4 linked regions of the Xenopus tropicalis genome follow. The protein of the gene in region 1 purifies or fractionates together with the protein of each later gene. This does not show direct contact. Links are inferred from orthologs where the notes say so. Each region holds a gene or a part of one and is shown in the gene's direction. Other genes may lie near its edges.

What was found. Proteins that work in one complex are often made in the same cells at the same time.
Region 2: the proteins of eps15l1 (region 1) and itsn2 purify together in Homo sapiens (affinity purification with mass spectrometry; 5 studies listed by BioGRID and IntAct, with this or other methods). This does not show direct contact. The link is inferred for Xenopus tropicalis from reciprocal best matches to the Homo sapiens genes EPS15L1 and ITSN2.
Region 3: the proteins of eps15l1 (region 1) and ap2s1 purify together in Homo sapiens (affinity purification with mass spectrometry; 4 studies listed by BioGRID and IntAct, counting the BioPlex papers as one, with this or other methods). This does not show direct contact. The link is inferred for Xenopus tropicalis from reciprocal best matches to the Homo sapiens genes EPS15L1 and AP2S1.
Region 4: the proteins of eps15l1 (region 1) and itsn1 purify together in Homo sapiens (affinity purification with mass spectrometry; 4 studies listed by BioGRID and IntAct, with this or other methods). This does not show direct contact. The link is inferred for Xenopus tropicalis from reciprocal best matches to the Homo sapiens genes EPS15L1 and ITSN1.

What each region holds. Positions count from the first base shown.
Region 1 is NC_030677.2:112,411,776-112,414,742, forward strand, and holds the end of eps15l1 (epidermal growth factor receptor substrate 15-like 1), read left to right. Parts: intron 1-1,800; coding exon 1,801-1,947; 3' UTR 1,948-2,467; downstream 2,468-2,967.
Region 2 is NC_030681.2:145,787,835-145,791,334, reverse strand, and holds part of itsn2 (intersectin-2), read left to right. Parts: intron 1-1,520; coding exon 1,521-1,657; intron 1,658-2,360; coding exon 2,361-2,791; intron 2,792-3,500.
Region 3 is NC_030684.2:70,196,750-70,199,922, forward strand, and holds the end of ap2s1 (AP-2 complex subunit sigma), read left to right. Parts: intron 1-1,412; coding exon 1,413-1,526; intron 1,527-2,101; coding exon 2,102-2,161; intron 2,162-2,272; coding exon 2,273-2,374; 3' UTR 2,375-2,673; downstream 2,674-3,173. UniProt on the Homo sapiens protein: Component of the adaptor protein complex 2 (AP-2). Adaptor protein complexes function in protein transport via transport vesicles in different membrane traffic pathways.
Region 4 is NC_030678.2:14,215,870-14,219,369, forward strand, and holds part of itsn1 (intersectin-1), read left to right. Parts: intron 1-840; coding exon 841-939; intron 940-1,172; coding exon 1,173-1,340; intron 1,341-2,423; coding exon 2,424-2,636; intron 2,637-2,916; coding exon 2,917-3,038; intron 3,039-3,283; coding exon 3,284-3,366; intron 3,367-3,500. UniProt on the Homo sapiens protein: Adapter protein that provides a link between the endocytic membrane traffic and the actin assembly machinery. Acts as a guanine nucleotide exchange factor (GEF) for CDC42, and thereby stimulates actin nucleation mediated by WASL and the ARP2/3 complex.

The sequences.
Region 1 (2,967 bases):
AGGGGTGGAGGGGTTTGAGAAAAAAAGTTAACAATCATATATAGGTATGTATGAGCTTTTTCTTAAATGATAACAAATATCTCTTTTATCCCAAATTACCTGTTATCAACTTGATACCATTACAGTACAAGCCTCCAGATTCAGTGAAACACAATTGTTTTCTGTATGGTCTTGTGCAATTGATATTGCCAGTAAACCCCACCTCTAAAATGGAGGTATTGAGATATAGAATGCAGGCTAACAGCACACTGCACTTTTACAATAACCTGTCAAACTTTTGAGTCAACTCAATGGAGAATACTCTAATTTTACCAGTGTATGTTAACAAAGATGTCCATTAATATGCTTAATGCATAGTTACTGTGTAAGTAATATTTACAATTACAGCTATGAATTTGGTTAAAGCAAAACGAAAGGAATTCAGTGCATTGGAGTTATTCACATAGGCAAAGGACGTGACACAAATCAGCAAATAACAAATGGCTTGTTATACCTTCAGTGCACACTGACACCTGCTTCCACATTTTCATCCAGTGAACATAGTCTGCTTTTGCATTACGGACTGTGACTAAGGTTTGTTTTAAAAACTACCCTGTAATGTAAGATACACGCGATATGTTACAAACAATCCACAAAACTACTGTGTTACTCTTTCTTTTTAATTCAGCTTGATTCCCTTAGCCTGCTGACTCTTCATTCTTTCTCTAAGATCCAAACTTCTTGCTTAGAGTGCATTATTTATATGGCTATTCACCATGTTTGTTCATGAAGGCAAATGTCTGAGAGACGAGAGAAGAAAAGCCAGAAATCCAACAGGAGAAATATGAAGAATGTGTGCGTCACCCAGGAAACTGGAGAATATTTGAAGTTAGCCAGTAAATCTTTTGACAAGTGCAAGGCACTAAACTAAATATATATATATAATTATATAACTAAATATATATATATATATATATATATATATATATATATATATATATATATATATATATACACACATGCTATTTTTTAGGTGGCAAGATTTTTTTTCTGGCCATAATATAGATATTTTTTGTTACTATTTACATGTGTAATTGATTCAGTAAGGCTAGATCAATGTGTCTGCTACAAACATTTTTCCTATCCATGTATTGCTTGTTTGTCTTTGGGCTGAATTACTAACATAGCTGCTAAGTATTTTCTTATTATTCCAACAAATGTATGGGGTGCCACAGGGAGCTACATTAGTGCAATATAGCACCTATATTAGTAAAGCAGCCCTATTGAATTTGGCTAACCAGATAAAATAGAATTTTACCCTTCTTGCAAAAATAGAGTAATGTATGAGGCTATAGCCTGTGTTGTGCATATGATATTCCATGGATATGTTTGCATTTATACATATGAGAGCTACCATATTGCTGTTAGGGAACAATAGGGTGCAGTATGAAAGCTCCCGCTGATGAAAAACATTGTAGGCATACAGTTTGTTCCTTCATAATTTCTACATAGTTTTTTTTATTTCCCATAACCAGACAAGCATGAATAGGCCATGTAGGCCATTGTGTAAGCCATTGTTTCAGCACACTTTTTAACACCTAGTATTTAAAATGAGGAGGGAGTTTCAAATGTTGCTTTGGAAACTTAATAACATAACATAAATTCTAGAAAATAAAGTGAAAGTATAAAATAGACTCTGTGATTTTTCAGGTAAGGAAAAAGCATTTTATTTGGCAGGTGAGCAACAATGTCAGTTGTGCATTTGCTGATGGACCACAAAGGTGAAGTTACTGATTCCTCCTCCATTTTTCTGTCCCACAGTTTGGGAACGAGGAGCAACAGCTTGCTTGGGCAAAACGCGAGAGCCAGCGGGCTGAGAAGGAAAGACTAGACCGTTTAAAACGTCAGGAGCAGGAAGACCTGGAGCTAGCGATTGCCCTCAGCAAAGCAGAGATGCCGAGTTCCTGATAGTCGCACTCTCCTGGTCTTCCCCATCCTGTGCCCGCAGGATTATATGCCAACGCTATTGCAACCGACACCAACTCTGCATTCAGGACAGAGGTGGACAGGAAGCCGAATGACTTCATCCTAAACTAGCGGTCTTTATTTCTGAACTACTAGCCAGTCACGGGGAAGCTGTGGCCATGACATCACCATAAAATGACCCCAATGGAACTGCTTGATGGGAATATTCACCTGCACATATATTCTAAGCAAAGGAACTGCTATCCAGTCATCTCTTGTTTTATTTTATTTTTCTATATCAGGGAAATATTTTTTTTTAATCATCCTTGCTATCCCCTTTACATTTCATCTGATGCCCTGTTTGAATTTTACACCAAGTAAGCATTTGCTTTTATTTGTATGATAAGCTGTTATGGCCTGCATGGAATGACTGGGCTGTTTGGAGTGAATGTAAGATGTTCAGTTGATCCAAAACCCTATGCCTACATTAAAAACAATTTTTACAGGTACCATCCCGCAGAAATTGGCTTATGCAAATGAAATTTCATTAATCTTTGGATTTTTTTAAAATTTGCATTTCTTTTAAGAGATTCTTATTATTCTGATTTTAACTTACTGCAAAAGGCAACAGTGGGGAAAGAAAATCACTATCACTTTCCTCTGTTTTGGTTTCAGAAGACATGAAACCTTCACTGCAAAATACGAGCGTTATTGGAATGTTTGCATTCATTCTTGAGTGGTGCAGAGTGGAGATCATGCTACATTTGAGTGGATAAAATGTTTCAATTAATACTTATTCTTAACAATTGTTAAGCATAGGATTGTTAACCAAACATGAAGTTTAGCAGGTTTTAAAGCCAAAATCATACCAAATGGCATATTTTTGTGATTATTTCAAATGAGACCCATAACTTTAAATCTTATTCTGCCAGGCAGAATAAGCTGTCAGTGTAGTTGGTTTAAGTAGAGGGCATGAAGGATGTCAGCACTGAAGTCATGTAATACAAATGAAGGTTTGAAACC
Region 2 (3,500 bases), on another chromosome or scaffold:
TTGAATCCAAGTTGTTTTGGGGGACCAGTGAAATCTGTGCCAGTGCTACCTGTGGGGTGAGTTGTGCATATGAGACTTGCTGTTCTGCAAAGGTTCCATTTTCCTCTTTGACATCAATTAAATTCCTTATAACTCAAGAATTTGTTATAAAAAATAGGTAAAAATCTATATAACAGCAATGACTGCAGGATACAAATGATATCCCAGAAGCTGATTGATAATGATCCTATGCCAATGCTGGGAGCAGTTTACCCTTCATATTTTATTTAGTTTGGTTTTCTGATTGTATGATTAGTAAAATAGCCTGTTAGACTGGCCATACAGTTACCAATAAGATATTTCTGTGTTGGGTAGACTATCCCTACCGGTATCTTTGGGCTATGGATATTGGGTTTGTCAAGGCCAGTGTATGGGCATCTTTATTCATGCCATCCCTGTGTCTGATTGGACTCATCCATGTCTGCACTGGGGAAGAACAATGGTCGCCTTCTGTTTGTAGGATGTCTTCATAGTACTTTGATTCCATATACTGTACACATCTTGGTGTTGTGTTGTGTTTTTGCCTATAGCTACCGTATGTGTTCCCAAGTACACAATTCCTTTGCAGCTCTCTCCCTGCATCAGGGAGCATATGGGGTACTGTGTAGTGCTGCTATGTGCATAAATATGAACATACACAGAATCAGCCTTTTAGCCAATGCTTATGCCTCATTCAGCAGATTTCAAGCTTACATGAAAGAGGTGGTTTACCTTTAAATTAACTTTGTCATTTATGGAATAGCAAGCTTTGCAAGTGTTCATTATTTTTATAGTTTTTAAATTATTTGCCTTTCACTTTTGATTATTTCCAGCTTGTAAATGGGGGTCACTGACCCCGGCAGCCAAAAAAAACTTCCTCTCTGAGGCTAGAGTTTTATTGTTATTGTAACTTTTTATTACTTGTATATCTTCATACCCTTTCCTATTTATGCCCTTCTCTCATTTAAACCATTGCCTGGTTGCTAGTGTAATTAGCAACCAGTTAGCAGCTGAAATACCAAACTGAAAAGCTGCTGAACAAACACAAAATTGCTGAAAAACCATAACATATAAAAAATAAAATAAAGAGCGATTGCAAATTGTCTTGGATTATCAATGTCTTCATTATACTTAAAGTTCATTTAAACATGAACTATCCTATTAATGCCGCAGTTATTTCAGCAGTGACTGGGGAATGCACACACATAGCAACACAATAGCCTGTGAGGGCCCTGGCCCCAGGATCTTGCAGTACGGTTTCAGGTTTTATCACATTTCGTAATCTGTCAAACCCATTGTTTTTGTGCTGCAAATTATCAGGAATGCCCACAATTCCCTTGTTTCTCCATATTGTGCCGCCATCTTTGTTGGGCTTCAGATCTTCACAAGTCCATGCATGTGCCGATGATACCATAGCTCCTCGCTGTATTATGGTGCATTGCTTCGTGCCTGCTGCTCCACTCCCTTTACTGACTGTGTGATGTGTGCTGTGTCTTGCCCAGGAGCTGAGAGGGAGCTACAGTAAGCAACAGTCTGCCTTACATCAGCTGCAGAAGATCAAACAGGAAAAACTGAGGGAAGCTGAGCAGAAACGAGCCGAGCAGGCACAGAAGAAGCAGGAGGAAGAGGAGGCTGCAAGGTAATGAATCAACTTTGCTGCAGAACAGGTTGTTTACCATGAGATTATCATGGAATAAAACTGGGGGCGTCATAAATGGCTAGTGCAAGGTCTGCTTAAGGGTTTCACTATGTATTCTTAGCGCTAAAGGTGGCCATACACGAGCAGATTTAAGCTGCTGATTCGGGTCCTTCAGCCCGATTCAGCAGTTTATAGGCACCCTAGATGGGCCTGCCCGACTGATATCTGGCCTAAGATTTGACAGATATCAATCGGGCAGGTTTGATTTTTCCGTGTCATCGAGGATCACATCTGCTCATTATATGGTCCTCACTCCGACGTGTCTTATTCCCGTCATTATGATTTGATCATTTGGCCCAAGGGTCATTTAATTGCATTACTCCGGTATCCCCCCCCATAGGTGGGCATATCAGTGGAAAGATCTCCTCCTTTGGCGGCCTCACCAAATGAGGGAATCTTATGGTGTATGGCCACCTGGGGCTGTGCTATCTTTAGGAAGGGTATTTCCAGTTCCTATTTTCATGAAATTCTATGACCTTTAGCAGTCTTAAGATTCTAAGATTCCTTGTCACCTCTTATTGGCTAACCCAGGTTATATCCAAACTGTGTATGTAATATTGCCATTCGCTAACCCTGAATGACCATGTCTCACATCGATTTGCCTAATTCCTGTTGCTTCTGCCATTATCTCCCCTTCCCCCAGGAGAGCCAAGCAAGAGAAAGAAAACCTCTGGCTGGAAAATCTTAAAAAAGAAGAAGAGGAGAAGCAGCAGCGCTTAGAGGATGAGAGAAGAAGAGAACAGAAGCTTCTGGAAAAGCAAAAAGCAGAGGAGGAAGCGACAGCACGGCAGAGGGAAGCCCAGCAAAGACTGGCAGAAGAGAAGAAAAGGCAGGCCGAGAGGGAAGAAGAACAGAGAAAGAAGCAGCAGGAAGAGGAAAAACGCAGGCAGGCCCAGCTGAAGAAGGACCTGGAGGAAAAAAGCAAGGCAGAGGATGAGGAGAGAAGACGTAAGGAAAGTGCTGGCCGTAAAGATTCTGAGAAGCGAATCTCCAAACTTAGCCTGGATGAGAAGTTTGCTGACAAGCTGAAGAATATTGGAGGCAGGAACGCCAGCTCTGAGCGAGGGAGAGAAGGTAAAATAATATGGTCTGCGGAATCCTATGAGTGTTGGGTAAAGTGGAAAATATGCCCAGCAAATCAATGTAGGCAAGGAATGGGGATCTTAGGGGCAGATTTATCAAAATGTGAGATTAGAGCTCCCCACAGAAAAAGTCACCCACTTTCTATTCATTCCTATGGGATTTTTAGAAGCTTATTTATTAAATGGGGAACTTTAACTTTCACCCATTGAATAAATACACTTCTAAAAATATCATAGAAATGAATAGAGGGGGGTTGATTTTGTTGTGGTGAGCTCTAATTTCTCATTTTAATAAATCTGCCCCTTAAACTGCTTCTTATAAAAGAGGGTCTTACTCAGCACATAATGCAATATAAGGCACATATATTAATATAATTTTGGTTACTAAAGCCACAACATAAGGCAGTGGTTGTTTGTTTCCATTTGACGTCCTGAATTTGGTCAGGCATCCCTCTTGGCTTCAGCCATAGTTCATATGACTATCTAGGGCAAAAAATAAATGTTCTCCCAAGTTGTAACATAATTAAGGGGGCCTATCATCCAGACATAAAAAACTGTAGAAAAGTTATTTTTAAATTAAATATGAAACCCAATTTTTTTTATTTATTTATTTTTTTTAAATCTCAGCTGTCAGTCATATATTGCCTGCGCCACCTCTACACCTCAGGCAAACAGGTAGGGCAGGCAATTTCACTTTCCAT
Region 3 (3,173 bases), on another chromosome or scaffold:
GAAAACTGTCTACTCTGTGCCCTAGTCGCCTGCTATAAATCTTCCCTACTGTGGGCAACTTATCTCATGTGACTGCTTTACGCTGGCATTAAAGTAAGCTGCCAGTAGGAAAACATACTCGATTTTATGAAGTTTAGTACAGGTATGGGATCCCTTATCCGGAAACCCATTATCCAGAAAGCTCCGAATTACGGAAAGCCTGTCTCCATAGACTCCATTTTAATCAAATAATTCAGAATTTTAAAACTGATTTCCTTTTTATCTGTAGTAATAAAACAGTACCTTGTAATTCATCCCAACTAAGATATAAATAATCTTTATTGGATTCAAAACAATCCTATTGGGTTTAATTAATGGTTTATTGATTTTTAGCAGACTAAGGGCTCTGGCACACGGGGAGATTAGTGCTAATGGGATGCTAGTTCGGGGAGATTAGTCGCCCGTGACAAGGGAGATTTGTCGCGGGCGACTAATCTCCCCAAACTAGCATCCCACTGGTGAAAATGTAAATCGCCGGTGGGATGGCACACGCTGCGCAGGCGATTTCAGCAAATTGCCAAAAATGCCTCGTGAGGCAACTTCGCGATTTGCCGAAATCACCTGCGCAGCGTGTGCCATCCCACCAGCGACTTAATGTATATACTCGAGTATAAGCCTAGTTTTTCAGCACCCGAAATGTGCTGAAATCTCCCCGTGTGCCAGAGCCCTTAAGGTATAGAGATCTAAATTATGGAAAGACCCCTTATCCGGAATACCCTTGGTCCCAAGCATTCTGGATAATGGGTCCTATACCTGTACTGTAAAGCATTCATAGATTAGTCGCCCGCAATGGAGGAGATTTATCGCGGGCCACTAATCATCTTGTGTACTGCCCAAGGGCAGTGACAGATGGGGAATTTTGTAGCCCACGATTAATATCGGCTGCAACTGGTAACAAAACATCCCTTCTTTCCTCTCGGCTAACATGCAAACATACACAATACAGGCAACTTTGCACTGTGTATGTTTCCCCAGCAGCAATACGTCGGTGGAGAGGAAAGAAGGGATGTTGATTGGCTTCATACTATGTTTACAAAAGCACCCTTTTGGACCCAGTATTCAGTAAGGCTAATACCAGATGGGGCTGATTCTTGGCCTGCGAATAAACATAGTCCAAGGATCAGGCCCTACGCTGGCAGCCTTTTCCTGTGCCTGTGTGCAGGCTTATGGAGCGGATTTTGGCTCTGGAAAGCATACTGACACAGGGAAAAGCTGCCAGTATAGGGGATGATTCTCTGCCTCTTAATAAATGGCATTTAAACTAACTCAGCTATAGTTAACATAAACAACTATACAAAACCTTCTTGCAAATTCTTCCATTTCCTGTTCCTATGCTGTATCCAAAAAGCATCCTGTCATACCTTTTTTTTTAGTTTAGGAACTTTAAGATCATATACCGCCGTTATGCTGGGCTGTATTTCTGTATATGCGTGGACGTGACAGATAATAACCTGGCTTATCTGGAAGCCATCCACAACTTTGTAGAGGTAAGTAGATGGTATAAACATGGACAGTGAGCTAAAACAAAATGAAATGGAAATAAAGAAACTTGGAGGGTTGGAGAGATCAAGGGTGAGAGGGTTATACTGACAGAACAATTAAATATTTGAGATTAAAAAAGATTATTCTAAAAGAGGTATGCCTTTTCTAATTAGCTTTTTCTAATCCCAAATTATTCATTGTTATGTCAGTATAACCCTCTCACCCTTTATCTCCCTGACCCTTCCAGTTTCAAACCCAGTCTACAGTTTCTACAAATAGTGATATTACTAATATGAGGGGCAGGGTGTTTTCACAACTCCAGTTTTTAATGAGGACCCAGCGTAAGCCTAACAGAGTCTACACAGTCTTGTGTGAACATCTAAATATGCTTTCAATAACTGTACAAGTATTCACTTTGGCAGACCAATGAAGTGCTGTTACTCATGCCATTATTGCTTAATTATTGATTTAAAAACACTTTTTTAGAAATGGGTAAATAAACAATGTGCTTTATAAATGATACAAATATAAATATATTCACTAATATATATGTCTAATTTGCTTTTTTTTTTTACTTTAGGTGTTAAATGAGTACTTCCATAATGTATGTGAATTAGATCTGGTGTTCAATTTCTACAAGGTAAGACTGCTCTTTCACATTCATTAGTAAATCTCACCCTTTTCCTATCAGTTGCTTCTCTCTCCAATGCCTTTTGTTTCTTTCTATTAAACTTTTGCTTTTTCATTTTAGGTGTACACAGTGGTGGATGAAATGTTTTTGGCTGGTGAAATTAGAGAAACAAGTCAGACAAAAGTTTTGAAGCAGCTGCTGATGCTCCAGTCCCTGGAGTGAGAGTGACTTCTGAGCTGCCATCCACCTAAACTCTCCAGCATCTTGTGTATATATAAATATATATATGTCTTCCCCTTTCAGTCTTGAATAACATTCCAAGCAGGAGCTAAACCTTCTTGCATTGCCCTCACTAATTACCTCTGTATTCTGTTTCAATTTATTCATTATTATGTGACCCATTACTGCCTCTAATCCATAACTCTATATCCTACCTGCCCCTGTCTCTTTTGTTTTCTCTTCTCAAACAAATGAAGTTTTTTAACTTTTAATGTGAAAACAATAAAATATTCTGTGTATAATGATGCTGTGGGAGAGAATTGGAGAAGGGATGATGTGCTGTAGTGAGCTGGTTGCAGATAAACTGGCCCCAAGTGAAGGGAGAGAATATAGTTAAAGTACTTTGTTAAGGAGGAACTTAAACACCTTGTGTGTACTGTAAATTAACAGCAGCTCTGTGCAGTTAAGTTTACATTCTCCTGATTTGGTAACATTTCATGTGCCCCCCCCTCCACTGGTGTCATGCACCAGCACAGTCAGAATGTGCAGCACCGGGAAATGTAATGGTGCTTCCCCAGTAACATATGGGTTGTGTGCTGCCTAAATGTGCTAACACACCTAGTGCTAATGATTTACAGAACTCAGTGGAATCTCAACAAAACACAAGTTAACCTGGTGTATACCAAGATCCTGTGCAAAGTAGAACAATCCATGGTGCAAATCCCATACTCCCCTTAAAGTTGTACTTGCCAGTATGGATTGAAATCTTCACAGAAGCAGCACATAATGGAGTTCTGCTAAT
Region 4 (3,500 bases), on another chromosome or scaffold:
TCCAAACTCTTCAGCTGGACCCCCAGTTTGGAATCGGTGGGCCCTGCCTGAAGCAGGTCTGGACTGGGATTCCAAATAGGCCCTGGCATTCCCAGTACACAGAGGCACAAACCACACCCCCCCCCCCCCGGCTCAATAAATAGTGAGTGTCTATGGAATCTTACAGCAGCCCCTCTGGCATTTGCCTGAACCTACAGATTTCCAGTCCGGGCCTGGCCTGAGGGCAGGTAGATGAGTTTTGGGGGGAATGCCTATTAGCTTTCTTATACTTCTATAAACCCAGTGTGATGCAGAATGAACACAGAACTAAGTCCAGAATGTCCACAATGTTAATGCTCCTCAGCGGAATTTATACACATGGAATCGTCTTGCCCATAAATTCAGTTACTAGACCGGATCAATATTAAGACAGATCTATCCTTACCAATAGACCCCATGGTACCAGATGAAAGACATTTTGCCCCAAAAGGGCACATCAGACTCTATTATCTATACTGTGCCTGTATGCAAAGCAGACCATATCTATGAACTGGAAATCTCAGACCTACCCTAAAGTCCTGGGAACAAATTAGAGAGCCCCCCCTTCCCCACACCCATGGATAAATTTGTAAAATAACAACCACTAACTGAGTCCTTGGACTCCTGTGTGATCACTGGTGTCATGTTGGGAACCTTGTTGGGAGAAACCCCAGAGCAAATGTTGGGCCTCAAAACAGGGCATCAACCATAGACACCCAGAAACCAATGTTTTAGGCTGTAGAGGTCGCTGCAGGGATATTGCCCCTTTGTACAAATGTTTTTGACTGTTACATATAAATGCATTTAATCTTGTCATTTCAGAGGCTTGCAATGGATCCCCGGTGTAAGGGAATGCCGCTGTCCAGCTTCCTACTCAAACCCATGCAGAGAGTAACCAGATACCCGCTCATCATTAAAAATGTATGGAACCTTTTGTTTTTCTAAATGTGCCCCAAACTTTAGCTTCTATCTGTAACATCAGATCTGTATGTGTAAGTGCCCCCCGCTGTGCCCCCCGCTGTACCCCCCAACTGTACCTTCTGTACGGCAGCACATTAGCATTATAAGCACCAGCGCAACTCATTACTGATAATGGGCTGAAGCCTTGATTAATAATCTGTACTTATGATATGTATTAATTTTCTGTTTTGCAGATTATTGAAAATACTCCAGAAAATCACCCTGACCACAGCCACCTGAAGCAAGCCCTAGAGAAAGCCGAAGAATTATGTTCCCAAGTGAATGAGGGGGTTCGGGAGAAGGAAAACTCAGACCGACTGGAGTGGATTCAGGCGCACGTTCAGTGTGAGGGTTTGTCTGAGGTACGTCCTGTAGTCCAGCCGGCCGGGTAGGGAGCCTAACGGGCCCAGGTGCTCTGTACAGTACTCAGCTAATGGGCCCATATCAGCTCTGTACAGTACTCAGCTAATGGGCCCATATCAGCTCTGTACAGTACTCAGCTAATGGGCCCATATCATCTCTGTACAGTACTCAGCTAATGGGCCCATATCAGCTCTGTACAGTACTCAGCTAATGGGCCCATATCAGCTCTGTACAGTACCCAGCTAATGGGCCCATATCAGCTCTGTACAGTACTCAGCTAATGGGCCCATATCAGCTCTGTACAGTACCCAGCTAATGGGCCCATATCAGCTCTGTACAGTACCCAGCTAATGGGCCCATATCAGCTCTGTACAGTACCCAGCTAATGGGCCCATATCAGCTCTGTACAGTACTCAGCTAATGGGCCCATATCAGCTCTGTACAGTACTCAGCTAATGGGCCCATATCAGCTCTGTACAGTACCCAGCTAATGGGCCCATATCAGCTCTGTACAGTACCCAGCTAATGGGCCCATATCAGCTCTGTACAGTACCCAGCTAATGGGCCCATATCAGTGCTCTGTACAGTACTCAGCTAATGGGCCCATATCAGCTCTGTACAGTACCCAGCTAATGGGCCCATATCAGTGCTCTGTACAGTACTCAGCTAATGGGCCCATATCAGCTCTGTACAGTACCCAGCTAATGGGCCCATATCAGCTCTGTACAGTACTCAGCTAATGGGCCCATATCAGCTCTGTACAGTACTCAGCTAATGGGCCCATATCAGCTCTGTACAGTACCCAGCTAATGGGCCCATATCAGCTCTGTACAGTAATTAGCTATAGGACTCTGTGTCTTGGTATGCCACAAAGTGAGGTATTTCCTGTGTGCCAGACTGGGGGCCTTGAGCTGATAACATTGGGATTGGCTGAAGTACTAAGGCAGCAGGGAATCCTGGGAGTGTGACCCACTCATTGCCCAGTGAGACCCACCAGGTTGCAGGTATAAAGGCAAAGTAGTAAGGATTCCTGCACATTCAGCATCTCCCTACATAATAATTTCCTCCCCCTTTTTCTCCAGCAATTAGTATTTAACTCTGTTACAAACTGCCTGGGCCCACGCAAGTTCCTGCACAGTGGGAAACTGTACAAAGCCAAGAGCAACAAGGAACTATACGGCTTCCTGTTCAACGACTTCCTGCTGCTCACCCAGATCATTAAGCCCCTCGGCTCCTCCGGCAACGATAAGGTGTTCAGCCCCAAGTCCAATCTCCAGTACAAGATGTACAAAACTGTGAGTAGCCTTGTGACTAATACTGCACAGTGGCACAGTGGCACAGTGGGGGGTATTTCCTAACATTGGAGACCACCATCACCGGTGATGTTGCCCATAGCAACCAATCAGATCTTTGCTTTTGTTTTAAAACTTGTAGGTGACCATTCCAATCCAATCGCTTATTGGTTGCTATGGGCAACATCACCATTGATGTTTTTATCCGATCTCCCAGCTTTAGGCCCAGTGCTGGGACCTCATATTTAAAGTTGATGTTTATGCATGAAATCCTGTGTTTCAGCCAATATTCCTCAACGAAGTGCTGGTGAAACTGCCCACGGACCCATCCGGGGATGAGCCAATCTTTCATATTTCTCACATTGACCGAGTCTACACATTGCGTGCAGAGAGCATCAATGAGAGGTCAGAGACTCCTCCCCTTGCCTAGGTAGCCACACCCTTTATACACAATACATACTGGGTAACCCCGCAGTGTTCCATTAGAACCAGTTCTGCTTTGCACTGGGCACTTATCCTGCAGTAAAAGGGAATTACACAAATATGTATTGTAAATAACAGCACCAAAATGAAAATATAAATAGTCTTTCCATAACTGTAGTAACTGCTGTATGAATAAAGGATCATTGTGTAAATGCCATATTCTATAGGACGGCCTGGGTGCAGAAAATCAAAGCGGCATCGGAGTTGTACATAGAGACGGAGAAGAAGAAGAGAGAGAAGGCCTACTTGGGTAAGGGGCTTTGGGGGGGAATCCTTGGGGTGTTTTCATTGGAAACATGGAGTTTGGGGTATTTATCCTATTTAAAGCAACACCGACACCTTTCCGATGGAAGCAGAAGTGATCACCTGAGGATTTGCTACCCT